Linked DNA regions of Xenopus tropicalis. The protein of the gene in region 1 binds, or shares a complex with, the protein of each later gene. Links are inferred from orthologs where the notes say so. Each region holds a gene or a part of one and is shown on either strand. Other genes may lie near its edges.

Region 1 (4,190 bases):
AACTCCCTGTTCGCGGGCGACTAATCTCCCCGAGTTGCCTTCCCCTGCCATCCCATCGGCGACAATGTAAGTCGCCGGTGGGATGGCAGATGCGGCGGGGCGATTTCGGGAAATCGCCGAAAAAGACTCGCGAGAGATCTTTAACTGTAAACTGGACGGATACTGATGTGAACAATACACATTTTTGTACAAATATGTCAGCATTATATATTAGAAAAAAATATATTACTTAATTAAAACATGCATACCCAAATTTACCTATACAGGTATAGGATCCCTTATCCGGAAACCTGTTATCCATAAAGCTCCGAATTACGGAAAGCCCATCTCCCATAGACTCCATTTTAATCAAATAATTTAGAATTTTAAAACTGATTTCCTTTTTCTCTGTAGTAATAAAACAGTACCTTATAATTGATCCCAACTAAGATATAAATAATCCTTTTTGGATGTAAAACAATGCTATTGGGTTTAATTAATGTTTTATTGATTTTTTAGTAGACTTAGGGGCAGATTTAGCAAAATGTGAGTTTAGAGCTTAATCCACAAAAATTCACCCATGTTCTATTCATTCCTATGGGATTTTTAGAAGTGTATTTATCAATCAGTGAATTTACCCATTGGTAAATACGCTTCTTCAAATCCCATAGGAATGAATAGAACATGTGTGAGTTTTTGTGTATTAAGCTCTAAACTCACATTTTAACAAATCTGCCCCTTAAGGTATGGAGATCCAAATTACATAAAGACCCCTTATCCGGAATACCATTGGTCCTGAGCATTCTGGATAACGGGTCCTATACCTGTACTAAGCAACAATGAAAAAAAAAAAAAGGATAATTTAGGCCACGCCCCAGACCCGCAGCAAGTTACACCCCCAATCTACACAAATATAAATCTATCCTATTTTTTTTTAACCCCCAGATCCATTTGCACCCTACTTTTATGTCACCACTATTCCACAAAATCGGAACAATTTTTGCATATACAAAACGCACCCACGTGAAAAAGTACCACCGAATTTAACATTGCACCAGTACAGCATTTATTTATATTTATGTAATATTAAGCTTGCAAATCATTCAGAACCGCTGGCCCACCCTACTAAGCGCAGACAATATAAAAGAAAAATTTGTAGAAAATCCATTTTTGGGGTTAAATCACGACAACGGGGAAGAAGTAGCAGCCCTAGTCTATGTCGATATTTAAATTGTAAAGATTAAAACAAATCGAATTTCCGAGAAAATCTGCTTAATGATATACACTGGAATGGTTATTCTATCGGTTTACATCCACACTCCCCCCATAACTACATTTCAGGTAGCACGCACTGTAAGAAGTAGGCCAGGCCTTATTTATTCCTTCCTCTCCGAGACCCTCCCTGTCCTCTCCTCCTCCATCATGGCGATGCATAACAAGGCCACGCCGCCCCAGATCCCGGATACGCGCCGAGAACTGGCCGAACTAGTAAAGAGGAAACAAGAATTAGCAGTAAGTTAAAAAACCTCATCCACTAGCGTATTCTTTGTACCTAGTATTTTCTAAAAAAACATAATATATTTTCGGTTTAATGTAGGCCTCCCAGTTTTAAACCAAACACCGTAGGAAAATAGCGCAGCCCCTATGCACAAGCCTTTGTGTCCGTAACGTATATTTCGTAATCTGTATTTGTGAATAGCTGTATGGTTACGCTTTGTACGTAATTCCACAGTCGTTTTTGGTGCTGCGCCTTTAGCGTAACCATCACCGTTACGGAAATGAGTTAATTTACGTTGGTTACTTAGCAGGTTTTCTTTACTTTCTTTGCGTTATCGGCGTGTTTTACAATAATCTTTTTCTCGAAATGGTGTGATTTTTAACCGTATTATTTCAGTTAATGTGTTGCCATGGTGGAACGTATTTTGTTTAATCCTGCGCAGCCGCTATTTGGTGGCATTGCTGGCGGGAAAAATAAATATTGCAGACGTCCTTAGTGATGTAGCTTGAAACCAAACTGAAAGCCGTGTTTTAATAGGTTTAAATAGTGTATGCTGGTTTTGCTGTTACATTTCACGAAACCCATTTGCTTCCTTTACCTATGTCAGGTTTATGAAGCTCGTAGAATAGCGTCCAAGTCTGGGCCTAGCTTTTGGTTCAGTCTTAGTTGTGACGTCACGAGTTTTTATTTACAAAAAGGGGCCATAGCGACCTATCGGGATTTCCTAGTTTCTATCTTAAATAGACAGATCAAAAGATTAGCTGCATGGTTGCTACGAATTACCGCACTGATGCAAAATCCCACTGTTAAAGGTATACGTTTATAACCATTGGGGTGAAGACACACGGAGCAGCTACTTGAATGACTACTGAAAAAGACAATGCTAATCATTTGCTGATAATTGTCACTATATGTGTTTTAGCAGAGGCAGTTCTCAGTATTGTCTATGGCTAGGTATTTTCTGGAGTTTGGTAGCCTTGAAAAAGTAGCTGCTACTAGTAGCTCAGTGTGTCTTCATCCTTATGGCAGTGACAGACGGCGACTAATCTCCCCGCAATGCCATCCCACCGGCTAGAATGTAAATCACCGGCGGGATGGCATATGCGGCAGTGCGATTTGCCGAAGTTTCATCTCATGGCGACTTCGGCAAATTGTGGTGCCACGGCGACTGATCTCCCCATGTGTCACTGCCCATAAGTTGCAACAATGAGGAAAAAGGGATTTCTTAGATGGTTTTATTGTTGAATACATGGGTTGCCATCGGTGCTTATGGGGCCCCCACAGACTTGCCTGTTTATGCTTCTGGTCCACCCTAACTATATAACTTAAACATGGAACACCACTACTTTCATATCAGTTCAGCCCTAGCTTGGATGGGGCAACTCTGACAGGAATTGAATTGAGGGCACGGTTTCAGAAAATGTTTATTGGTTGTGTAAGTGTTTTATTGTCATATTCAAAGAAACTATCAGCAACAGTTCCAAGCTCTTTAATAAAATGTCTATGACTGCATTCATGGCACTAAAATATCTCATCTGTGAGGCACCCAATATATTCATCTGTGTATGACCTGGTAGGGGTTTGCAGATTACTTTGGGTGTCAAAGCTTCTTGATTGGCATGTGACCTAATATTAAAACAGCAGTTGATTTATTTTTTGAAAGGCAAACTTTTTTTTGCGCTTACATGTTATACATAAACATTAGACAATCCGTTGTATTTAACAAAAGTAAAAAAATAAATATAGCTAGTACTGATCATTATGCATACATGTGCTTACCAGCAGCCTGCCTTTGAGCAACCTCCCCTGGTTTTTCAATGGCCGATCCACTTAAAAAGTAATGAAAACATTGTAGAGATTAAAGTTCCTTCTCTTTCAGAAAATTTCAATATGATAGTAATGCTTGCGCCATTAAGTGTCCCCTAGCCCTGCGCATGCACATTATGCTATGTGGTGTGAGATAAAGACAATATAGAAGGGGAATGTGATGCACATGAATGTAAGATGATGGCTGCAAGCTCTTCTCTTGAGGGAAATAACTTGACAGCAGTGGCAATGGAGGAATAATAAGTATGTTTTGATTTGGCAGAACAGGAGAATGGCGAGTTTTGTTTCAATAGGTTTTGTTCTCCTTTAAGGTCTGTGACAGACAGGGAGTTTAGTCATCGGGCGACTAAACTCCCCAAACTGCCATCCCACTGGTGAGAATGTAAATTGCCGGTGGGATGGCATACGCGGCGATTTGCCGAAGTCGCGGAAGTTGCCTTGACTTCCTCGACTTTGGCAAATCACTGCGCCACATATGCTATCTCACCGGTGGGATGGCATTTCAGGGAGCATAGTTGCCCATAACAAGGGAGATTTGTCGCAGGCGACTAATCTCCCCATCTGTCTGAGCCCTAAGGGTGAAGACACATGGAGCTACTAGTAGCAGCTACTTGTTGTGGCTACTAAAATAGACAATGCTGGAATAACCATAATTGCTCTGCAATGAGACTATTAACCCTCAAAAGTGTGCCAGAACTAGGGACCAAAGCAGGACAAAAAGCAGTTGACTTTAGCTTTTATGATGTCTGTGATTACTCGGTTTATGGTTTACTACCCAACACAGTTTGACAAGTAGCAAACGAAACAGCAGCTCTGTAAGCAGATGTTCCTTGGATTATTCATCAGTTTTATGGTTTTCAGGCGCCTTCCCCTGGACTTGCACAGT
Region 2 (3,500 bases), about 21 Mb from region 1:
AGGACAGTAAATTTTCTAAGAAGGGAGCTGGGAAGAGAGGACGGGAGAAACAGAAGATAAAAAGAGAGCAGAAGGAGACTGTGTGTGGAAGAGTTTCTGCGCCAGTGATGACTGTTATGCAGATTCCTTCATGTCGGTGAGCACAGTTTTAATCTTCCTTAACATTTCTTAACCTTTGTAAAGAGTAGTGCAGAATTAAGGGTCAGCAAATTATTGTTGTGTAATTAATATTGAATATTAAAAGAATATGTAACAGTAATTTAAGCAAGAAAAACATATGTCCATAAGGTCAGCCTATTTAAAACTCATCTAACTGCTAGCTGATCCACAGGAAAGGGAAAAGCATAAATAATAATTTCAGGGACTGCTCGATTTGCCTTTCTGGAATTAGGAAGTTATTATTTTCCCCTCAGAGGCAAATTGGTGATGGCTTAAAGAATAAGTAAACCTTTTTTTTTCCTATCAGTAAAATTACTCTAAACAGCCTCCAGAATTACCTACCTTTGTCCCAGCATTCTCTCTGACCTGGTTCCTCAGTTAGAAGTTGATCGTTTTTCTTTGCTTCCTTGTGCAGAGTGAAGCCCGCCCCCACTTCCTGTTTAGGTCTCTCATCAAAAAAAAAAACCCTGCTAATGCACAGATTGGCTCCTGCTGCCTCCAGGCATGCCCAGAAGGCTCTCTAGGTCGACTACAGGTAGTCAAATTGAAGAAAGAACTGAACAGGAAGTGGGGGTGGGGCTTCACTCTGCACAAGGAAGCAAAGAAAAACGATCAACTTCTGAGGAACCAGGTCAGAGAGAATGCTGGGACAAAGGTAGGTAATTCTGGAGGCTGTTTAGCGTAATTTTACTGATAGAAAAAAAAAAAAGGTTTACTTATTCTTTAAGCCATCACCAATTTGCCTCTGAGGGGAAAATAATAACTTCCTAATTCCAGAAAGGCAAATCGAGCAGTCCCTGAAATTATTATTTTTTTTTTCACTTGGGAAATGGCATCTGTCTGTCCATGCCCCATCTGTCTAGCTGCTGTGACTGCTTATTTTTGTGTGAGCTTTAAATACTATCAGTACTGAGACTAACTGGCCCCTGCATTATTCACAACTCCGATTCAGGCTGTAAAACCCTGTATTGCTACACCTGGTAAGACCCTGCATTGTTCACACCTGTAAAACCTTGGACTAATAATACTGTAGGCCCCCACACTGTTCACATGTTCACACCATGACAGATTTCAGGAGCAGTGTCACTGTATGTACTGCAGTGCAAACTGTTCTTAGAGTAGTCATAATCAGTTACTTACATAGGTACATGATCAGTTACTTGATAGGTTTCCCTGTCTCTTTCCCTGCCCTTTCCTACCTGTGTGTGCCATGCTCTGCCTGGCTTACCCTATTTGTGTGTGCCATATTCTGCCTGTCCTAGCCTGTGTGCACTACACTCCCTGTGTGTGCCATAATTCTGCCTGTCCTATGCTGCCTGTGTGTGCCATATCCTGCCTGTGTGTGCCATATCCTGCCTGTGTGTGCCATATCCTGCCTGTGTGTGCCATACTCTGCCTGCTCTGTGTTGCCTGAGGGAAGTGAACCTTGCAGGGGTATGTTCTGGGATTTTTTTTTTTAGTATTTTAATTAGATAGTCTAATGGCGCATATTGTATAAATATATATTCATGAAAAGTTTTAATTTGTAACAAAAGGTGTTTAAAATATCATTTGTTTTTACAGAGACCTGTAATGTGTATGTAGTATAGTTTCCCTTTAGCATGTGTGGTGGTGTTTGGTATAAAAGTTAAAAACCGAAAAACATTCATTCAGTTATTTCATTCATCAAGCACTAATTTGCTGCTTGTTCATACTGAAGTAAAAACACATTTAGGCTAAGGCATTTTGGAGAAAACAACACTACTGCCCAGAAAAAGCCTTGATTGCTGTAAAGTGACTTAAAGAAATACTGACACACAAAATTAAACCTGTTTTATGTCTATCTTAACAGTGCATTTCCATGTTATTTATAATTTTGCCTTAAATGTATTTGCCCATTGCTTTTACATTACCTCTCTGATTCCCCATGGTCTTCTATTTTTGGGCTACCATATTTGTGCAGCATTAGTCCGTTAGCATTAGAAGCTGTAATGGGCAGGTTGAGAAAGGACTGACTGGCAAAACTTTCAGGTTTAGGAACTTCAAATAACAATTGCAGCTGCCTGTTGCTATGTGCACAGGAGTTTTTTGTTCCTGAATTTTGTCTGTAGGAACAATGATTTAAATCAATTGCTTGCACTTTTTGCTGATGGAAGAGAATACAGTCATGGCCAAAATTGTTGGCATCCCAGAAATTTTTTGCTATAAACATGTTTATTCCCTTTGTGTGTATTGGAACAGAACAAAAAAGGGAGGAAAAAAAGCAAATTGGACATAATGTCACACAAAACTCCAGAAATGGGCTATTAGCATATTAAAAACAGGAGTCGGAGTCGTGGAGCCGGAGTAAATAAAACAAAATAAGTAACACAACAGCGTTATTAGTGGTTAAAATACCTGATCCAATAGTCACGTTTTTGGGGGGGGAAAAAAAGACAGTGGTAAAAAGTAAAAAAAAAAAAAAGTGTTTGTGTATACATATCTAAAAGTTGTGTCTATAAGAGTGCAAAAGGTTGCAAAATGAAAAAAGCAAAAAAAAAACCAAACAAACCCCAAAAACCTGCTAATGTGTGTGTAAATGTATGTAAGTGTGTATATTAGTGCAAATAAATACCACTTACCTGTTCCTGTACCTTAGCTGGATGGATGCAGGGATTACATGGGGGGTCCTGGAGGGTTGTCTTAGCAGAGTGCTACACAGCAGGAAGTGAATGGGGGGGGCAGGCAGAAGCTGCAGATGCGATCGCATATGCTGCTTGAAGGTTGCAATTGCACCCCAAGACTGACATTACAGCCCCCCAGCCTCCTGACTTTCTGCAGAGCATGTATGCTCTACATGCTTGCATGTAGAGCCTTTTTCTACCACCATGTGAAAGGGTTAAAATAAACTTACAATAAACTCTGGTTTGTAAAATTTGCACTGCTTAGTTGTCTAATTCTATGGATTTCTGCATTGTCATTGGTCAGATAGGTATGCAGGTCTTTACGCAGCATGGTGTAGGTAAATCAATTAGGTTTACTTGCAAGTTGACCGTATAACCAAGCTTGGCACCTGTGGATTCCACTGGTATCTAGTCAGCCTGCACATCAGTACTTTAGACCGACCCCACGCGTAAGCAAAAAGGAAGAGGCTTATCTCCTGCCAGGAGAAAATGCTGCAAAGTTTGGACAAGCCTTATTTATGGGTACTTTAATAACCCACTCAGCTTAAACAAGTTGTCTGCAGACACAGCATATGGTGTTTAAATGCTTAAGCGAAATCATTGTGGGGAAGAAGGTTATTCATTGCAGTTTGGGTCTCTACTGCTCATGTGGTATGCTAATGAAATAGAGAATGTCCAAAGAAAAGCAACTAAGCTAAT
Region 3 (3,500 bases), on another chromosome or scaffold:
CAAAGCCACAAATGGGCAGAAATAAGGTGCGGGGGGGGGGGGGGGGAGAAAGAGGTGAAACTGCTCAGTATTGGATTATATGTTCCTATTAACATTTCTTTAGGTGGATGGAAAGGTGAGCACCATCTACTGCCAAAACCTCTGCCTTCTGGCCAAGCTCTTCCTCGACCACAAGACCCTCTATTATGACGTGGAGCCCTTTCTCTTCTATGTGCTGACCCAGAATGACTCGAAAGGCTGCCATCTTGTTGGATATTTCTCCAAGGTGAGGGAAAGGGGCTGTTTGCTGTGCACCTGTGTTTTTCTCACTAAGGAAGAACGTCCCCTGATTCAGCTTCTTCCCAAAGTAGGTTACGCGTAGTTCCAGCTACCTTCAAAGCCAGATGGCAAGCAAATGGATGAATAATGAGGAGCCCTGATACGATAGTGCTGTGGCAGTGTTCTTAAAGGGACCCCCTCACTTTAATTTTTCAAATTTTTTTTTTTTTTTTTTTTATGTTAATAGTTGATTGTATTCATATATGTTTAAAGGGGTGGTTCACCTTCAGATTAACTTTTATTATGTTATAAAATGGACAGTTCTTATCAACTTTTCAACTGTTCTTTATTTTTTAGTTAAATTATTTGCCACCTTCTAACCATTTTCAGCTTTCAAATTCCCAATGGCCCATAACATATAGCAACAGAGATAACACCCTGTTAAAATCCATGGAAAATGGCATTGTTGCAAAAGCTCTAGATAAGAAAATCAGCCTTCCCAGCACTCTTATCTCTCTCATCTAGATAATCAGCAATGCCCGGGAGATGGCTGCTTCAATAGGCTCCTTCGATTCTGGTTGTTTGGTGACCCTAGCATTTAGTAGCAAAGGTTCCACGTGCCAGGTTTCTGCGCTGCTAAGGAATGCAGGGTGGCGTGTCAGTGCCAGCAGTCGGAGATGACCCTGCTCTAATTGTACGGCAGATTCCAAGTCTATAGAATGACATGCCAGAAGCTCTACATCAGAGGCTTCCACGGGGTTCTAATGACTTGGTGAATGCAGAAAGCTGTGTCCTAGAGAATATGAAAGGCTTTAGGGCTCTTTAGTCAGGCTTCAGAATTCTAAATAAGGCTGGTTCCCAGGAGTTCTCTCTTTGTGGCTATAGCAGCATGAAGCTCATCTTTCATCCTTATAATCAGCAGTGAGCTGCAAGCTTCAGAGGGTTCGTGCCAGTGCTGATGACACCGGCCTGTAATCACCCGTCTGAAATCCCAGCGTAAAAATGTCTCTCATCTCCCACCCAAAAGTGACATTTTGTGGACTAATAGGGAATTTTGTTGCAATGCCTACATTCTGCACCCCATACGCAGCTGTGTTGCATGCAAGCAGTGGTCCATTACAGATCCATACAAGTCCATTACAAACTCCATGGATATACACTTAATTACAAATGCAGATTATTGTGCTCATGGTAAGTCGTAATGCAAGCAAGGGCTGGCCAATAGGCAAATGCAAGGTTAAAGAGAAATTGTACAACTGTGATTGGCATAAAATCCTCAGACTGCGCCCTCTGGTGGCCAGACTTGCTTAAACGTGCAAGAATTAGGTCCATTTCTTAGAGGGCCACAGAGTGCTCTTCCTGTTTAAGGTTGCTAGGGCAACTACCTTGTTTAAAATCTTGGTTGCTGATGAAAAAAAATGGAAAAACTTGAAACCCACAGCACAATATGCAGATCAGTTGCAGAGTCTATTGTGATACATATATAAAGGTGAATATTGCCTTTAAGAATGAGCAGCTTCTGCTTCAGCACCCTACTATGAGAAACCCTCCTACCCCCCTCCTCCTATAAAATAAAGCCTTCCCCACTAACCCGTTTATCCGGTCCATAGAAGCCATGTATGTGATTCTTGTATAATACTGGGCCTGATCCACGCTCTGATGCATCTTTGTGTTTCCCTTCCATCCCCAGGAGAAGCACTGCCAGCAGAAGTACAACGTGTCCTGCATCATGATTCTTCCACAGTACCAGAGAAAAGGATACGGCCGCTTCCTTATAGACTTCAGTAAGTAAGGGGGGGGAGGGGACATACTTGTTAACACTATATGGGAGCTGTTTGCTTAGATGTATTCCACTGCTTTAGAAGCGCTTTATGCAAACGTTACTCTCCATATGTCCCCTTCATTGACATCCAGGACTGGTTTCATAGAGTGTCTAGAAGTGCAGACATTCTCTCCAAATATTACCTGGCTTTTAGGCTGGATCCCTATCCAAGGCACTGTGCCCCGCTGGGGGAGAGCCCAAGCTCCCTGCATTACTGAAGGCATCGGCTTCTTACTGATGTATGATCCAATGTATAGTAATGCACAACACCTTTGCTATTTCCTCCTAGGTTACCTACTTTCTAAACGAGAGGGGCAAGCAGGATCCCCAGAAAAGCCACTTTCCGATCTGGGTCGGCTCTCTTACATGGCGTACTGGAAAAGTGTGGTACTTGAGTGTTTACATCACAACCGAGAGCACCAGCTAAGCATCAAAAGGCTCACCAAGCTGACTGGTATCTGCCCCCAGGACATTGCGGCCACGTTGCACCAACTACGTATGCTGGAACTTCGTGGAGACCGGTGAGCTCCTGCTGCTGCTGTTATACTTATTTGGGGCTTCCTTGTTGCTTCTTTTTCTTTAAATTCACTGGGGAATGTAATCCCCCACCCCTTACCAATGCGTTATATGCTTATCTGTTTGTCCTCTTCTTCGTACAGCGTTGTGTTGGTTCGTCGGGAACAACAAATTCAGACACACATGAGTCGTTTGCAGGCCCGGCCGCGGGAAGTAGAGGTGGATCCAGAAGCTTTGAGATGGACACCTGTTATTGTCACCAACTCTGTGGTCTCGGATGAAGAGGAAGCGGAATCTGAAGAAGAAGAGGATGAGGAGGAGGAGGAGGATGAAGAACAAAGAAGTCCTCTGAAAGACAACAGTGTGAGTATGGCAGACTGTGTAACCATACTGCTAGCCTGCTCTTCTGTTCTTAGTCTTGTTCAGTCACTTACCTGCTATACATTGAATGATGTGATATGAACGAAATCACTGATTTAGGCTCTGAGCTGGGCCTTCCCTTGGTAGCCATAGTCTAGCTCGGGGATCCCCAAACTTTATACATGTGAGCCACATTTAAATGGAAAAAGTGTTTGGGAGCAACACAAGCATTAAAAATGTACCTGGGGGTGCCAATGAGCTATAATTGCCTACTTATTAGCCCCTGTGTGGACTAGCAGCCTACAGAAGGCTCTTTTTGACATTATATTTGGTTTTTATGCAACCAAAACTTACCAGAAGTTCAAAAATAAGTAGATGCTTTGAGGCCACGGGGAGCAACATCCAAGGGGTTGGGAAGCAACATGCTATTCATGAGCCACTGGTTGGGGATCACTGGTCTAGCTCATACTTATTTTAAATAAACATACTTACCTTACAGTTTAATGTTAATGGGGAGGGAAGTAAAGTTTTATGTGTACAAATC
Region 4 (4,036 bases), on another chromosome or scaffold:
GGCATATATGTATATTTGCAAACAATGCTATCTACAGACTCTGCCAAAAAAGCAAAGGTTAAAAAATGACCAAGGATGAAATACTTGGTTAGATTAAATAAGAAATAACTTCTGGATAAAGAATGTCTTCAACATAGGAAGATGAATACTTCCTTTATAACTCCATAGCTGTCAGAATAATGGGTCTGGATAGCTGCTGGGCTCCTACACACGGGCATTTCACAGTGTTTTCCTGCAGCGCATTACACCGAAAATGCAGGGCGAATCACCTGTGTGTAAAAGCCCAAAGCTGGTTCTCCTCTTGGTACAAACCAACAAGACTTTGGTGGGCATGTGGCTGCCACCTGTATTTCTATGGGCTATGGTGAAAATTTTGGCGAAACTGCTACAAAAGCAGATACAGTAGCACCCCAATTTTTGGCACCCTGGAGAATGTAAAATTGTGGTTTGACTGTATTTGTTGTTACGGGGGCTTGAAGTGGACAACCCTCCATGTATGAAGACCCAGTGTCAGACTGGCCCACCAGGATACCAGGAAAACTCCCCGTGGGCCCTCCTGATCATTTGGCCTGTTTCATGTTCATTCCCTATTTCAGTATGGGAAGAAAGAGGAGAAATAAATGGAAGAATATATGCTAGCATGTTAATAAAAGGGACTAGGAGAATAAAGAGGCTGGGTGAGGAAAAGAGAAAAAAATAGTTTGGAAAGCGGGCCTGGGGTCTAAGGTTTTCTGGTGGGCCCCTGGTATCTCAGTCCAACACTGGGTTTAGGGTTCCCAGTCTGACACTGATGAGAGCCAATTGAAGTCATAAGCCCATATGCATGGAAGGCTGAAATCAAACAATGTAGCTGATAGCAGTCCTGACTGGACAGAAGAGTTCACTTGTGCTACACTGTTTCATGATTTACAACAGGGACAGGCAGTGCTATTAATTGCAATAACGTTTGCCAATAACTTTAATGTCTGTTTATTATAAAGTTGCTTAGAAAGACATTTTCTTTTTATTCACATATTAGTGGTTTATTTCCCTTGTGAAGCTGTTGGTGTTGTTACACATCCCAGCAGGGCGCCAGGTGGAGGGACCCTTCAAGCACCGGGGTCCTGTCACAGAGGCGCGGGCACGAGAAGCGGCTGTGCGCGCCCCCGCTTTTCTCTGCGGGCCCGGAGAGCGCGCAAACGCGCGATGCACTCTGGGAATGGCTGCGCAGCTCGGGTTGGCTGGGGGAGCAGACAGCGGAGTTTTAATGTCCGCCATGTTGGCCATGGCGTATTGAAGAGGGAGGGAGAGACTGGCCCACAGGAGCACACAGACTCCCACCAAACCACCCCCCAAACTGAGCCACGGGCACCGGGAGTGCCAGGATAAGCGCCCTGTCTAATATTAATCATTATTATCGGAACAACAAGGCTGGCGGGGAGGCAGCGAGGGGGGGCGCGGAGAGAGCTCCATGAGAGCGCGGCACGGGAGATTTTCCCCGCTCGTCGGTCGCATGGCTCGCTGCTAGACACACCATGAGTAAATTATCGTTCCGGGCGCGGGCGCTGGACGCGTCCAAACCGTTACCCGTCTTCCGCTGCGAGGATTTACCGGACTTGCACGAGTATGCCTCCATCAACCGGGCCGTGCCGCAGATGCCGACGGGCATGGAGAAGGAAGAGGAGTCGGTAATGCACCGTTTTTCACTTTCTCTTTACCGCTTTTACCCCTCTCCGCCCGGTCCCAGCTCTGCGCAAGCTTACACAAAATGGCCGCCATTTTCCTCCCTGACGGGAACGGGGATGGCGCACATACCTCTCCCCCTGTCATTCCATCCTCGGGGGTGGCTCGTGAGGCTAAAGCGGATCTCCCTGTGGGGATATATGTCCCCGGTGTGTCCGCCGGTGATACCTGGGAAGAATTTAGCGGCCGGGAAGGCACAAAGGGGTCACGTGATGGGGCCGCGGTCCGCCATTTTGTTGTGTGTGTTTCTCTCCCTGTCTTTTGGGGTTGGGCCTGGTTGTTGAGCGGGGTTGCAGCTCCAAGTGCGGTCGCTGGGGGGAGCTGGCGATCAGGAGTTGCTCACCTTGTGGGATTGTTTGTGTACGTTGGGAGCTGATTGACAGCTGAGAGCCGGCATGCTGTAGTAGTTTCTCTGCTGTCTTTGTGGAGTTGTATAGAAACACGCCATTGCTTGAAACTATCTCTTATGTATCGGCCATGTCATATATATGTGTGTGTGTGTGTGTGTATATAATAAATCAGCTTTTTAAGCGTAAACTTAGTTCATGGCACACGTTTTATTCATTGTAGTAGTTCATTCTGATGCCTCCCAGGGGGGTACAATCCCTCCATAATGCACAAATAAACCACTTTGCTGACTTGAGCTTGTGCTGTGGGGAATATAGTCAGTAATATGATCTACTAAAGGTTCTCTGATTAAAGCTATACTGTTAGATGTATATATTTAATGGGGTGTAACACAGGGTTTGGCCAGTGCATTGCTGTCTATTTAGGATTAACCATTGGCTGGAATGGTCTCTCCAACACATACAGGCAGCTTAGCTGACTCCTAATAAAATGTGGCACTAGTGTATATAAATGTTGTAGGAACCTTAGATTGTAAGCTCTGCTGGTGCAGGGACTGATGTGAGGCAGAAATGATGCCTGTAAAGCGCCATGTAATGTAGTTGCATTTTGACAGATTTTCTCCATAATGCAGCCCTGGGTTAATCATCAGTTTTGCATTTTAAAGAAATGTTTTGTTTGGGACCCAGTGTGAAGCTGCTGTGAGGGCTGGGGATTGGCCTCGCTGTAGATAATATATGTAAGTGTAGTATGTTGACATTTTGCTTTTAAGTGAGAGTAGAATTGGCTTTTTCCTTCTGACCTTTGTTGGACTTCTGTAGGAGACAGTTGATGTTTCTGACTGCATGGAGTATATCTGATTGGTAAGCAATGGTAGTACCCCAAGTTGGGTTGCACGTGCCAGCAGTCTGTCAGTGTATGTTATCATCTGCATTCTTGGGGCTTCTGCACCCCAGCTTCCATAACATATTCACATGACTGTATCTGTGTGTGAGCTGGGGCCGTACAGCCTGTCATTGCTGCACCTGTCTGGCGTGAGTGGGGCCATAAGCACTGGGGCACTACTCATCAGTTAATACAAACCTGCTGTTTGTACAGAGTATTCAGTATCGGCCTGACCCAAAACATACCAGAATCAAAAACTACACACGCCTGGCCTCTCAAAAATAAGTAACCTGGTGCTAAAAAAAGTATAGGGAACCCCTACTAAATGGCCATGCAAGGAACACTGCAGCACATGAAGCAACCTTTTGGGGGTGGGCCTCTTCGTCAGGTTCTACTTTGCTGTAAGAACGAAGACGTGTGGCAACTAATCCATGCAGTGCAAATCGGCGCATGATTAGTTGCAGCGTCCTGTATAGTATCCTATGGTGCCGCCACCGCCTTTTTAAAAAGTCACCGCATTTAATCGATCCACATGTCTTCGCCCTAAGGGCTCTGGCACACGGGGAGATTAGTCGCCCGCGACAAATCTCCCTGTGTCGCGATTTGTCATGACATGTATCGCGGGCGACTAATCTCCCCGTGTGCCAGAGCCCTAAAGTGTAGAACAGCAAAGCTCAGGCTAATGGCACAAAGGCCCTTTTCTCAGAACTGCCCCATGGAAGTAAACCTTATCAGGATGGCACATTGTTGTGTAGGTGATTAATTTAAGGTCACATTATCAGTTTCAGACCATGACAGATAAATTAAATCCAAATTTTACTTAGTGTTGGATTAGAGATGGGCTGATGCATTTTTGAAAGAACTTAATGATGCTATAAGTGATTAAAGGAATGTTGTCATGGGAAAATGTATTTTTTTATTTTCCAAAACACATCAGTCAATAGAGCTTCTCCAGCAGAATCCTGCATTGGAATTTGTTTTATTAAAGTTCAAACAGATTTTTTATATTAAGTTTTGAAATTTCAGATGGGGCTAGGCATATTCATTTCTCAGGGAGCCACAGCCATGTGACCTGTCCTTATAT
Region 5 (4,189 bases), on another chromosome or scaffold:
CCAGATTGGGCAAAGATATACACTGACGGGTCCTGGGGTGTGGTTCTTTACCACCTTAGATTAGACAAATACTAAATTCCCCATTCACATACGGTCATACTGCACAATCTGGAACCTGCCCAAACACAAGCCATTTAGGATGCCCATGAGTAGGCAAGCTTTAGAGCATATGCAAGACTAAAAGTTTAAGCAGCACTGGTATAGCCAATATACAAACTTGCTACACAGAGATCCGTATGTTAGTAAGTCTAAGCACAGGATCTTTTAATTTACTCACAGTAAAATTCTTCCGGTGACAACTGGGAAAACAGCAATTGCAACAGAAGGTAAAGTGGATACTAGAATATACAGAATATATACAGAAGCTGCCATGAATCCTTTCTGCCTTCCTCTGGCTAAAAGTACAAAGAGCAACTTCTTTCCCCCTATGGCTTTTCCAAATCTTGCACAAGCAGCCACTGTCTCACTGGCAGGGTAAGCACAAGCCTCCTATAACAAATGGTATCAATCATATTTACACACACACTAAGTAGTAAAAATGGTGTGTGGTGTTACAGTTCAACAACTGTGGCTGGTAAACCATGGCCACAAGGTTAGTGGTAAATCAGGGGGCATATTTATTACAGTGTGTAAGCCAACATCACTAGTGATGGTGCCCATAGCAACCAATCAGTATTTAGAATTTGACAGTTACTTACAAGTTAGAAAACAAAAGATCACCAGAGATGTTGGCTTACACACTAAAAAAAAAAAAAAATATGCTGAGGTGTGTTGACAGCAAAGTCCTCTGGTGCAGAACAGCAGTAGTTAAAACACCAGTGTCACCACTGGTATTTAATAGCAAGGGCCCCTGTTCACACACAAAGAGGACCTCTGAGCGTGTGAACCTCCATGCAAAAAGTGACAGACCATTAGGAGTTGTGACAGATGGAGAGGAGCATTTTGACTTAACTGCATAAGCCTTTCCTCTAAAAAAGCATATCATAGTAAGGGCAACTCCATTAGGTTTCTGATATGTTAAAAAGGCAGCTATACATACACCAACAGTGTCAATTAATTTAAGCTGTTGATTGGCAGCAGAAAGAGCTCATTCTCTAGATGAGACATTCTCTATACCAGTGGTTGTCTGGCTTTATTAGTTCTAGACTCCACCACCCATGGCCACCAAACCTAACCTCATAACATGACTAAAGATATCTGAAAGAGACTGTTCCACATACTACTAGGTCAGGAAATAAGTTTTTATCCCAAATCTCACAAAGACTGGACTTCAGGCTAGACTGTCAAGTGTAACTAGAAGAGCAAATTGACAACTCCAAATTTCACTAATAGGGATATGATTCAGTGACAGTACAGTCCCAATGTTTCTTCATTAATGTCTTTGGCCAACAGTGCTGAGATCCACAGATGCAGAGAGATCCAACTACAGCAGCAACAGAAAATGAAGAAAGGGCTAAAGAGGACAAAGATGCTGTAAGGCAGGACTATGGTGGACTATTCTGGAATGACAGAACAAGAAATCAGATTCCTCACATTTTGATGCAGTACTAGAACACATGCTGGTGAGAGATTTAGAAGCAAGCCTGCTCTTCACTCTACCAAGATAGGACCTTTGTGACAGCAAAGTGATATAGGAATGGTGTAAAGTTAGTGGACCTAACCTTGCCCATTAAGGGCTCTGCCACACAGGGAGATTAGTCGCCCGCGACAAAACTCCCTGTTCGCGGGCGACTAATCTCCCCGAGTTGCCTTCCCCTGCCATCCCACCGGTGACTTACATGTTTGCCGGTGGGATGGCGGGTCATGGCAACTCGGGGAGATTAGTCGCCCGAGACAAGGGAGATTTGTCGCGGGCGACTAATCTCCCCGTGTGCCAGAGCCCTAAGAGTAAGGAAGGTGCCAAAGCAACAAGACTTTTGTTTGGGTGCAGGTTTGTAGAGAGAGCAGCTGGAAGGCCACATTTTCCATCCCTGCACTAAACACAGATCAGGTCAATATAAACCAACACCCCCATTACAACTGGTCAAGCTAAACACTGTATTTCTGCATGTGTCAGGCACAAGAAGCCGTAGGCAAGCCTATCCCCGTCCAGCTGCTCCCTATACAAGCAAGGCATTCTTATGAAGTCATGGTCCCGTCACTCCCACAATGGCGAAGAGGTAACCAAGCGTCTGAGCTACTGTCGCGCTATAAAAACGGGGTAACCAACCTGCGACTGCCCATCTGAGCTACTGCCGCACTGAGGCACGGCGCACAACAAAGATTTCCCGCTTGCTGCGCCTGCAGACAATGCCACGCCCCCTCCCCCATAAGGAAAATGCGAGATTTTACACGGAACACACTCTGCTGCGACTTCCCCACTCGAACTACATTTCCCAGCTTCCCCCATACAGCTAACCACGGCGGTCCTCAGGCTAGAGAACTGAACGATGTATGTCACCCCTTTAACGCAGTAAAGGCGAGGGGCGGATTTGTTTGACTGCAACTCTCAGACATTCGTAAGAGCTTGTATTGCCAGTTGCAGCCGAACAAATCCAAGAGCCGCAGATGCGATATCTTTCAGCCCATTAACTGCGCGCATTATTGGGGCACAGCGCTCTGCCGTCTGGTCTACCGCTCGGCGTTCACTTAGAGCAAAGGGGTGAGTGAAGACTACGGTGTAATGGTGGAAGCCACGTACAATGGCTTATGCTTACCCTCTTGGAACTTAGGCCTTGGGTCCTGCTTCGGCGCCATTTATAAACTCCGCGGCTCCCGGGAACGGATCCGCCGCATCTACTCACCGCGCGGACCCGCACGTCACCGCACGCCGCCTGCGCATGCGCGCAGGGATATGCCCAATGTGGCGAGCATGCGCAATAGCCACTAGCCCTCCCGGGGCACTATGGGAAATGTAGTTCGGCTTTAGTGGCGCAACCTCCCCCACCCTCACAAACAAAACAAGCATCTTCGCATTTCTGCTACAGTGGAAATAAGATGGAATGTTAATAAATAACATTTACTGTTCAAGACTAAATGCTAGGTAGGTACCTCAGGTATCTATTTCTATATCGATTTTAATGTTACTCGAGGCTGAATGCTTAGTTTACATATTCCAGAAAGTATTTTTTCATACAACGGCGCAAAATCTCACGCATTAACGTTTACTTAGTGTCTGGAAATACATAAGGCAAAATTTACCGAATGAAAACGTTACGCCCAACGTGGGGCTCGAACCCACGACCCTGAGATTAAGAGTCTCATGCTCTACCGACTGAGCTAGCCGGGCGCTGTTAATTCCGTTAATTTGCGCTCTAGTTACTAATAAGTATAAAGCAAAGTGAAATTTTCTCTGTTCTATCTATGGATTCTGGTCTTTTTTCCTCATAAAGTGTCAATTTACACTAATAACTCTTGCACACTCCTGCAGGGCAGGTATAAGCACAGAGGTCACCCACAGAGGCCAGCAAACAGTGGCATAACTAAAAGCTAATGGGTCTGACATTAAATTTATTTTAGCCCCCCCCCCTTAAAATTTACAAATAAGACAATTTTTATAAATCTATATTGCAGCTGTTTATTAGTCAATATCTTACAGGACCTCCTATTCCTCCTGGCAGTCCGGGACTGCAGCAGTGGCGTAACTATAGAGGAAAACCAGAACATATAGGGGCACAATTACTAATCCACGAACGTCCGAAAAGGGTCCGAATGCGTTTTTTCCGTAATGATCGGTATTTTGCGATTTTTTTAGTAAATTGTCGCAACTTTTTTGTAGCCGACGAAAGTTTCGGATTCATTCAAGCTTCAGTATCGTGACTTTCCTTGGGCCAGGTTGGAGCTGCAGAGTGTCATTGAGCCCTATGGGAGACTTTCCTTGGGCCGGGTTGGAGCTGCAGAGTGCCATTGAGCCCTATGGGAGACTTTCCTTGGGCTGGGTTGGAGCCGCAGAGTGCCATTGAGCCCTATGGGAGACTTTCCTTGGGCCAGGTTGGAACTGCAGAGTGCCATTGAGCCCTACGGGAGACTTTCCTTGGGCCAGGTTGGAGCTGCAGAGTGCCATTGAGCCCTACGGGAGACTTTCCTTGGGCCAGGTTGGAGCTGCAGAGTGCCATTGAGCCCTACGGGAGACATTCCTTGGGCCAGGTTGGAGCTGCAGAGTGCCATTGAGCCCTATGGGAGACTTTCCTTGGGCCGGGTTGGAGCAGCA
Region 6 (3,500 bases), on another chromosome or scaffold:
AAGAGTCGGTGAAAACTGGGAATGATTCTGTTTTGGAAGAACTTGGTAAGCCCAAACTGTGGGATCCGTTATCTGGAAATCTGTTATCCAGAAAGTTCCATATTACAAGAAAGCCACCTCCCATAGAGTCCATTTTGAGCAAATAATTCTAATTTTTAAAAATGATTTACTTTTTTCCTCTATTCAGGTTTTGGAACTGGGACCTGGGGTTTTCTGGATAAGGGGGATCCTTATGTAATTTGGATCTCTATATCTTAAGTCTACTTAAAATTAATTTAAATAGTACATATACACAAAAGGATTGTTTTGCATCCAGTAAGGATTCATTGGGATCAAGTACAAGGTACTGTTTTATTATTACAGAGAAAAGGGAATCATTTAACCATTAAATAAACCCAATAGGGCTGTTCTGCCCCCAATAAGGGGTAATTATATCTTAGTTGGGATCAAGTACAGGTACTGTTTTATTATTACAGAGAAAAGGGAATCATTTAACCATTAAATAAACCCAATAGGGCTGTTCTGCCCCCAATAAGGGGTAATTATATCTTAGTTGGGATCAAGTACAGGTACTGTTTTATTATTACAGAGAAAAGGGAATCATTTAACCATTAAATAAACCCAATAGGGCTGTTCTGCCCCAATAAGGGGTAATTATATCTTAGTTGGGATCAAGTACAGGTACTGTTTTATTATTACAGAGAAAAGGGAATCATTTAACCATTAAATAAACCCAATAGGGCTGTTCTGCCCCCAATAAGGGGTAATTATATCTTAGTTGGGATCAAGTACAGGTACTGTTTTATTATTACAGAGAAAAGGGAATCATTTAACCATTAAATAAACCCAATAGGGCTGTTCTGCCCCAATAAGGGGTAATTATATCTTAGTTGGGATCAAGTACAGGTACTGTTTTATTATTACAGAGAAAAAGGAAATCGGTTTTAAAAATTAGAATTATTTACATAAAATTGACTCTCTGGGAGATGGCCTTCCAATAATTTGGAACTTTCTGGATAACAGATTTCCGGATAACTGATCCCACAGCTGTAATAATAAAACAGTAGTTGTACTTGATGGTAACTACACTGGATGAATTTATATTGGAGGCAAAACAATCCTATTGAGTTTATTTTTGTTATTTTGTTTATTCTTGTTATGTTTAAATCATTTTTATTAGGCTTAAGGTACAGTGATCCAATGGATTGATTCCTTACCTAGAAAACCCTAGGTCCCCCGCATTCTGGATAATAGATCCCATACCTGTTCCGTGCTTATCATGTTACCATTGTATCTCTTTAGTGCTTCCCCCTTGGTTATGATTTCCCTTGTAATTGGCAACACAGTTTCAGATCTTTGGATAACACTGAGGTGCTACACCATGCTTTTACATTCATTACCTGGATAATTATTACAGCATGCCAGATCTCCTAGCCAAATGTATTTAATCAAAGCCAACATAATCACCCATATTTAATCCTGTCAGCAGCTGTGCGTCCTTTTGTTGCATTAACAGAAAGACCAAAAGCACAAAACTTCCAATGATGAAGTCTTTTTTTCATCTTTTACTCTTTTACCAATATATACAAAGTGTATATTCAGGCATTTCATATAATTGTCATACATGTCAATTTCATGTGATAAAAATAGGGTTACCACAAGGCCAGTATTTGACAAGCCCAGCAGTGTAATTGCTGATAAATTTGTAATACCTTCTTTCCTGACCGTCTCTACTGACAGGTTACCCCTTATAAAGCCAGTCCCGCTTATACTCTGCCCATTTTCCAACCCTATATAAAAATGTTGCCTGTGAAGATTACACTGAACAGTGTTTGTTGCGTGTTGCCTTTATTTTTAGAGAGGTATAATTGATTGATAGATAAGTAATAGCATGTGAAGGACTGGAAAGCTAATATTATACAACTTAAAGAAATAGACTGGCACACGGACCTGTTCATCCATAGGGTCATTCTCTCACATACAAAGAACCACGCTCCCTAAATGTTGTGTGCAATCTGTAGCCACAATAAGCACAGGGGATCACCCCGCAGATGAGTAAATCCCTGTTCCGGTCCGTTTTTTTTGAGTTAGATTACAGGTGGGTGCTAAATCCTCTCCTCAGTATGGATTGAGGTTGAGTGTGCCTGTAGGACAGGGATGGCTTTGCGATCGACCGATGACCAGGCATACGTACACATTCACGCAGCACTTCCGCATCCCCGGCTTCATCGCGGTCCACCAGAAATCCACTGGGGAACGACTGGTGGACCGCAGTCGACGTATTTGCAACCCCTGCTGTAGGACAATGTGTTAATATTATACAACTTACATTGATCACCTTGTTCTTGCCTTCTCTTCCTTCTTAATTCTCTTCTTACTGTTGCACCTATCCTTTCTGTATTTGATGTGCTGCCATTAGTCCACCTTACACAGTACTAAGGCTTTTTATTTAGATATTTGTAAGTTATATGTTTTTTTAAATTACATTTTTACATTTATGTTAGCATTTGTGAAATTGTGTTGGTTTTCTTTTTAATAACTGGTGAACGCTGATGGTTTTTATCTATTTATTCTTCATTCATTTAGGCTTGTCCACATCCTTCCCTATCGATGGAACATTTTTCAGCAGCTGGTTGGCCCAGTCTGTTCAGATCAGTACCGAGAATATGAAAATGAGTCAGTGGTCTTTAAACCACGGTCGCCATGAAACCAACACTTCGGGGCTTCTTTCTGAAGAGCTGCTGCAAGACGAGGAGACCCTGTTGAGTTTCATGATGGATAATTCACTGAAGTCTTCTTTCAAACAGACTGAAACTCTAAGGAAACTGAAAACCAAAACGAGAATGAATGGTAAAAAAAAAATGCCAAGAAGCAGCCCAAGTAACATTTTTAAGTGTCATAAAGATGATTTAATGGAGTGGAACAACATAAAGTGTTCGCCAGATCAGACTGAGAAGCCAAGTAACCAGAATTCAAAATCCAGCAGAAACGGTAAAGGAATTGCCAAGGTGCAAGTGGACCGCAAAGGACCTAGCGACAGAAAGGCTTCTAAAAAGGGACCGACCCATTCCCCTGCTCCAAAAGCCAATGGCTCCGACACATGTCCTTTAACCAATGGAGAGAAGACAATTAAATGTGCTCAACCCAAGTCTGATTCTCTAGTCAAAGTGCCTGCCTCACTGGGTTGTCCGAAATCAGTGGTGAGGTTTAAATTACCAAAGGGGATAGAAACGAGATTGGAATCAAAAATGGAGGCCTCTGAAGCTGCAAATAGACCTAATGTCACTAAAATGCCCAAGCTTAACTGCCATTTGGATGAGACTGATGGCTACTATTCAGATGCAGAAATGACCGACTCAGAAGAGGAATCCAGGGAAGGAAGAGTGCAGCTAAACCAGTTTGAGTCCTCAAACGATGACATTGTTAGAATGAGCATTTTGGCATCATAACTTTCCAGAGAATTTCATAGGACTGTCATTTATAAATTCTGCCTGCTTCTA
Region 7 (4,104 bases), on another chromosome or scaffold:
CATACCATGGCAATTGGTCGTTTAGTTGGACAGGTTAGAAAATTTCTGTTGCATAACAACATTCTTTATATAGTCTTTTTTTATGTTTAGGAGTGGATAGGAATTAGGTGATCAACCCTATGCATGCAGCAGGACTTTTAACCTCATCAGTGCTTCTGCTTTAAAATGTTACCTTTACAAAGCCTTGCAATTAAATGCAATAACAGTTATACTAGAAAAGAAAAAACACTTAATTCTGTTTTGAGCCCTTTTTAGCATGTTTCTAAAGTCCGATTATAGATCTGCTCTGAAAAAGCTGAGCATTTCTTTAATATGTTGTTGTTTCAAATTCATTATATTCATTATACACTGGGTCCCACAAGAAAATGTTTTTTTAGGCATTAAAACTTTGAGGAAGATGTCAGTTTCTCACAGATAGAAATTATGCATTATCCAGAACCCTTGCCTGGCCTGTACATTTCTTGATTCCCAAGCAACCACTGGGTTATTGTTGTTATACCTCCGGGTCCTTGTGTCTTTGCCTGTTGCTACTAAGCAGCTTTCACTTACGTTTATATATACAACAATAAATAGAGTATATTGTCAGTCCATGAGCTGAGGTGACAGTAAAGCAGAGCATATTAGAACAATGCCCATTTGATCTTACCTGTTACTTCACTGCTTATCAGAAATTAATTTTATATATTTGTGTTAAAGTTACAGAAGTTAATCTTCTGCCTTAGCTATTGTGGTTCCAGATGATCAATAACGTAATTTATTTCCATTACATACAGCATAGGTCATTTCTCACTAGCCATTGCTTATACAACACACATCAAGGAAAAGAAACAAAGGCATTGGCATAACCAGAATTTACTGGGACCCACATCCCTTTAGAGTCCCCTTTGATGGGAATAAATGTTTCACACACATTCGCAACCAACCTCTGTATACTACACTGTTTTTACTATTACACACATGCGTAACTCCGTTTACGGAAGTGTTTTGGGCGGATCGCTATCACTGGAACGCATGGTGCGTGTCAAATCGAAAAAGGGGAAACAATTACCGCCTTTTTGCTATTGCTGCCCAGGCGAATGCCTGGTAATTAATACTATATTTATATTTGTCCAGTATGCTCCAGTTATTACAAAAAATATATTTCTTTAAAATTTCATAACCTGTTCCAAATCAAGGACAAAGGTGAGTTTTAGAGGCTCGTAAAAATGCTATGCTTATTCCGGCGCGACTTCTTTGCCCTTCGATACGGTTGTCAAGGAAGGGGGAGGCGGCTGCGAGGCTGGAAAGAAGGAAGTCGCTTTAAAGCAAAATCATGGCGGAGGTAAGATTTATTGTTTAGCTCTTATCGCTATGTATGCGCAATTGTAGGTGATATTTCCACAGAATATAGTTACATGCAAAGCGTAGGATACGAAAAGGGGCTGGAATTTTGCGTTATCCATTTCTTTTATGTCAAGAGAACCTCTCTGTATTATGAGGCCATAGAAACATTTAATCATATTGACCAAACATTGGCTGTCGCTTCTTGCATGGCCGTATATCAGCTGCTGTGAATGCAAATTCCAATTGCTTGTAAGGTTCCCCATTTATATTCCCCATTAATGACCATGTTATGTCAGGATTTCCTCAGACAAATTACTGCATCTTGAGCCATATTACATTTGGTTTTCTATATTTGTTTTTCAGCTGATCTGTCTAGGATTTATTTCCTCATTATTACTCCTTTTAGATGTGCTGTTAGTTATTGTATCTCACACATTGACACCTTTTATGTTGTACTTTATTATTTAAAGGGGACATAAACTGTCAGGAACAAGTATTTGCCACTACATTATACAGCCATTAAAATAATACACTGTTAAGTTGCCCGTTTCTCATTTATCCGTGACTGATTTTCAGGCAGAGATTGTGGAGGGTTGCCGATTGCCTGTACTTCGCAAGAATCAAGATAATGAAGTTGAATGGCGTAAGTACTACATAGCTTGAAACGCACTGTAATAAATATTGCAGAAATATAGCTTGTACAGGTATAGGACCCATTATCCAGAATGCTCGGGACCAAGGGTATTTCGGATAAGGGGTTTTTCCATAATTTGGTTCTTCATACCGTAAGAAAAAAATCACAAAAACATTCATTAAACCCAATAGGACTGTTTTGCCGCCAATAAGGATTAATTATATCTTAGTACAGATCAAATATAAGGTACTGTTTTATTATTACAGAGAAATAGGAAATCAATTTTAAAATTCTACATTATTTGATTAAAACAGAATCTATGGGAGATGGGCTTTCCGTAATTCGGAGCTTTCTGGATAACTGGTTTCCGGAAAATGGATCCCATACCTGTACTTGTTTATGTTTACAAGAGTGTAGAATTCTGTGTGTTTTTTATTTATATGGTGAATTTTCATTCAGATGGTTTGTGAAGAAGCAAAGAAATAAAATGTAATTCATAATAAAATATACCGTTTTTGTAACCACTTCTTTTGTCTCTGTTTAATCCTCTCTAGCACTTGCTGAAATTCTGAGCATCAAGGAACTTACAGGGAAGAAACTATTCTATGTGCATTATATAGACTGTAAGTTTATATTTAAATATGGAGTTTAATGTTTCACTTAGTATTACATATATCCTGCATATTACATATAGTAATATGCAGGATACATGGCTTAAATAATGATATGTACTGAAACTAGGCTTGAGCTGCTTAAAGGGGAGCAATCATGAAAAATGTTTTTAGAATATTGAAAATATAAAATCTAGACAAACATTTTGACAATGTATAGCATTTAGAAATGTTGCACTGTTACAAAGTTATGGCTAATTATTGAAGCAGCCTCCCATTCGCCACCCTCCAGAATCTCTGTGTGAGTGACAGAGCATAGTGAAAGCTGATTTGCTGTGGCATGTCATGAGGCTCAACAGCAAACATGTGCAAAGGGGAAGTAAAGGAATTGAGCCGGGCTGGGCTAGGGGCTGATGAAGCTGCATTTGTACATATAACAGCAAAGCAGCTTATTGTTTATATCCTTTATATCCTCATATACACAGCACTTCTGACTCTTTTGCATTCAAGATTGTGCTGCTCACCAGCAGGCTTAGATCAGCTGCCAGTTGCCCTCTTGCAATTTACACATGCAGAAACAAATTTTTATTCAATACAGGTGTGACAGTTGTGACAAAAGAGTGTATAAAAGACACTCCCTCCATACCAGTGACATACCTATTGCAGCAATATTTCAGACCTCTGCACAGGCAACTGTGTATGTACAGGCACACAGATTCCTGTATGTTGGATTCACAGACACCTATGTCGTCAGAGCCCTTCTGTAGACTTTCTTTCAGGCTTCTTGATTGGCCAGCCAAATCAGGCCCACTTTGTCAGTCTGTAGCATTTACTCTGCTATAGCTAGTCCATGTCTTTTTTTAGAAAATGCCATATATTCTGTTATCAATTAGCTTGCATATTATAATGTAGGGATGCACCGAATCCAGGATTTGGTTCGGGATTCAGCCTTTTTCGGCAAGATTCAGATTTGGCGAATCCACAGTCCTGGTGGAACCAAATCTGAATCCTAAAATTCATGTGACTTTTTGTCACGTAAACACAGAAGTTAAAATTTTTTAACCTCTTCTAATTCTTATTGCTAGCATTTTTTTCTCTTGTAAAATTATTTCAGTCTCTTTTTTTTACTTTTTTACTCTATTAATCCCCCCAGTTAACAAGCGATTAGATGAGTGGGTTACTCATGATCGTTTGGATCTTAAGAAGATTCAATTTCCAAAGAAAGAGGCAAAAACTCCAACAAAGAATGGACTACCTGGATCAAGACCAAGCTCCCCTGAGAGAGAGGTGGTAAGTGCTTGGGCACTCAAAGAAACTGGTCATGTCAATCTGTCTTGCAGGGATGATGTTGACCATAACAGTTATCCCTGCACCTTACTACTAAAATAAGTGCAACAGAAAGTAGCAGGTAGTATTGCTTTAGCAGAACTAATGCCACTCTGCTCCTTTGGGCTTTGGGAGATATCAGTTTCTTCCTGTGCCCTCTTTAAAACAAAGATACCTGCATGTTCCTCCCTCTTCTCCAAGTCATCCAGT

Evidence for each region.
Region 2: meaf6 (region 1) and brpf3 share a complex: the UniProt entries of both Homo sapiens proteins name them as parts of the MOZ/MORF complex. The link is inferred for Xenopus tropicalis from reciprocal best matches to the Homo sapiens genes MEAF6 and BRPF3.
Region 3: meaf6 (region 1) and kat6a share a complex: the UniProt entries of both Homo sapiens proteins name them as parts of the MOZ/MORF complex. The link is inferred for Xenopus tropicalis from reciprocal best matches to the Homo sapiens genes MEAF6 and KAT6A.
Region 4: meaf6 (region 1) and epc1 share a complex: the UniProt entries of both Homo sapiens proteins name them as parts of the nuA4 histone acetyltransferase complex. The link is inferred for Xenopus tropicalis from reciprocal best matches to the Homo sapiens genes MEAF6 and EPC1.
Region 5: meaf6 (region 1) and morf4l1 share a complex: the UniProt entries of both Homo sapiens proteins name them as parts of the nuA4 histone acetyltransferase complex. The link is inferred for Xenopus tropicalis from reciprocal best matches to the Homo sapiens genes MEAF6 and MORF4L1.
Region 6: meaf6 (region 1) and jade2 share a complex: the UniProt entries of both Homo sapiens proteins name them as parts of the HBO1 complex. The link is inferred for Xenopus tropicalis from reciprocal best matches to the Homo sapiens genes MEAF6 and JADE2.
Region 7: meaf6 (region 1) and kat5 share a complex: the UniProt entries of both Homo sapiens proteins name them as parts of the nuA4 histone acetyltransferase complex. The link is inferred for Xenopus tropicalis from reciprocal best matches to the Homo sapiens genes MEAF6 and KAT5.

The regions. Positions count from the first base shown.
Region 1 is NC_030678.2:86,136,397-86,140,586, reverse strand, and holds the start of meaf6 (chromatin modification-related protein MEAF6), read left to right. Parts: upstream 1-1,390; 5' UTR 1,391-1,401; coding exon 1,402-1,491; intron 1,492-4,190.
Region 2 is NC_030678.2:65,009,533-65,013,032, forward strand, and holds part of brpf3 (bromodomain and PHD finger-containing protein 3), read left to right. Parts: coding exon 1-136; intron 137-3,500. UniProt on the Homo sapiens protein: Scaffold subunit of various histone acetyltransferase (HAT) complexes, such as the MOZ/MORF and HBO1 complexes, which have a histone H3 acetyltransferase activity.
Region 3 is NC_030679.2:130,478,552-130,482,051, reverse strand, and holds part of kat6a (histone acetyltransferase KAT6A), read left to right. Parts: intron 1-103; coding exon 104-265; intron 266-1,948; coding exon 1,949-2,042; intron 2,043-2,369; coding exon 2,370-2,601; intron 2,602-2,739; coding exon 2,740-2,959; intron 2,960-3,500. UniProt on the Homo sapiens protein: Histone acetyltransferase that acetylates lysine residues in histone H3 and histone H4 (in vitro). Component of the MOZ/MORF complex which has a histone H3 acetyltransferase activity. May act as a transcriptional coactivator for RUNX1 and RUNX2.
Region 4 is NC_030682.2:22,921,577-22,925,612, forward strand, and holds the start of epc1 (enhancer of polycomb homolog 1), read left to right. Parts: upstream 1-1,236; 5' UTR 1,237-1,514; coding exon 1,515-1,667; intron 1,668-1,794; exon of another isoform or gene 1,795-2,719; intron 2,720-4,036. UniProt on the Homo sapiens protein: Component of the NuA4 histone acetyltransferase (HAT) complex, a multiprotein complex involved in transcriptional activation of select genes principally by acetylation of nucleosomal histones H4 and H2A.
Region 5 is NC_030679.2:118,095,689-118,099,877, forward strand, and holds the start of morf4l1 (mortality factor 4-like protein 1), read right to left. Parts: upstream 2,801-4,189; 5' UTR 2,737-2,800; coding exon of another isoform or gene 2,697-2,736; intron 1-2,696. UniProt on the Homo sapiens protein: Component of the NuA4 histone acetyltransferase (HAT) complex which is involved in transcriptional activation of select genes principally by acetylation of nucleosomal histones H4 and H2A.
Region 6 is NC_030679.2:26,303,134-26,306,633, reverse strand, and holds part of jade2 (protein Jade-2), read left to right. Parts: coding exon 1-45; intron 46-2,586; coding exon 2,587-3,449; 3' UTR 3,450-3,500. UniProt on the Homo sapiens protein: Scaffold subunit of some HBO1 complexes, which have a histone H4 acetyltransferase activity. Acts as an E3 ubiquitin-protein ligase mediating the ubiquitination and subsequent proteasomal degradation of target protein histone demethylase KDM1A.
Region 7 is NC_030680.2:37,908,651-37,912,754, forward strand, and holds the start of kat5 (histone acetyltransferase KAT5), read left to right. Parts: upstream 1-1,304; 5' UTR 1,305-1,312; coding exon 1,313-1,321; intron 1,322-1,899; coding exon 1,900-1,966; intron 1,967-2,511; coding exon 2,512-2,580; intron 2,581-3,721; coding exon 3,722-3,858; intron 3,859-4,104. UniProt on the Homo sapiens protein: Catalytic subunit of the NuA4 histone acetyltransferase complex, a multiprotein complex involved in transcriptional activation of select genes principally by acetylation of nucleosomal histones H2A and H4.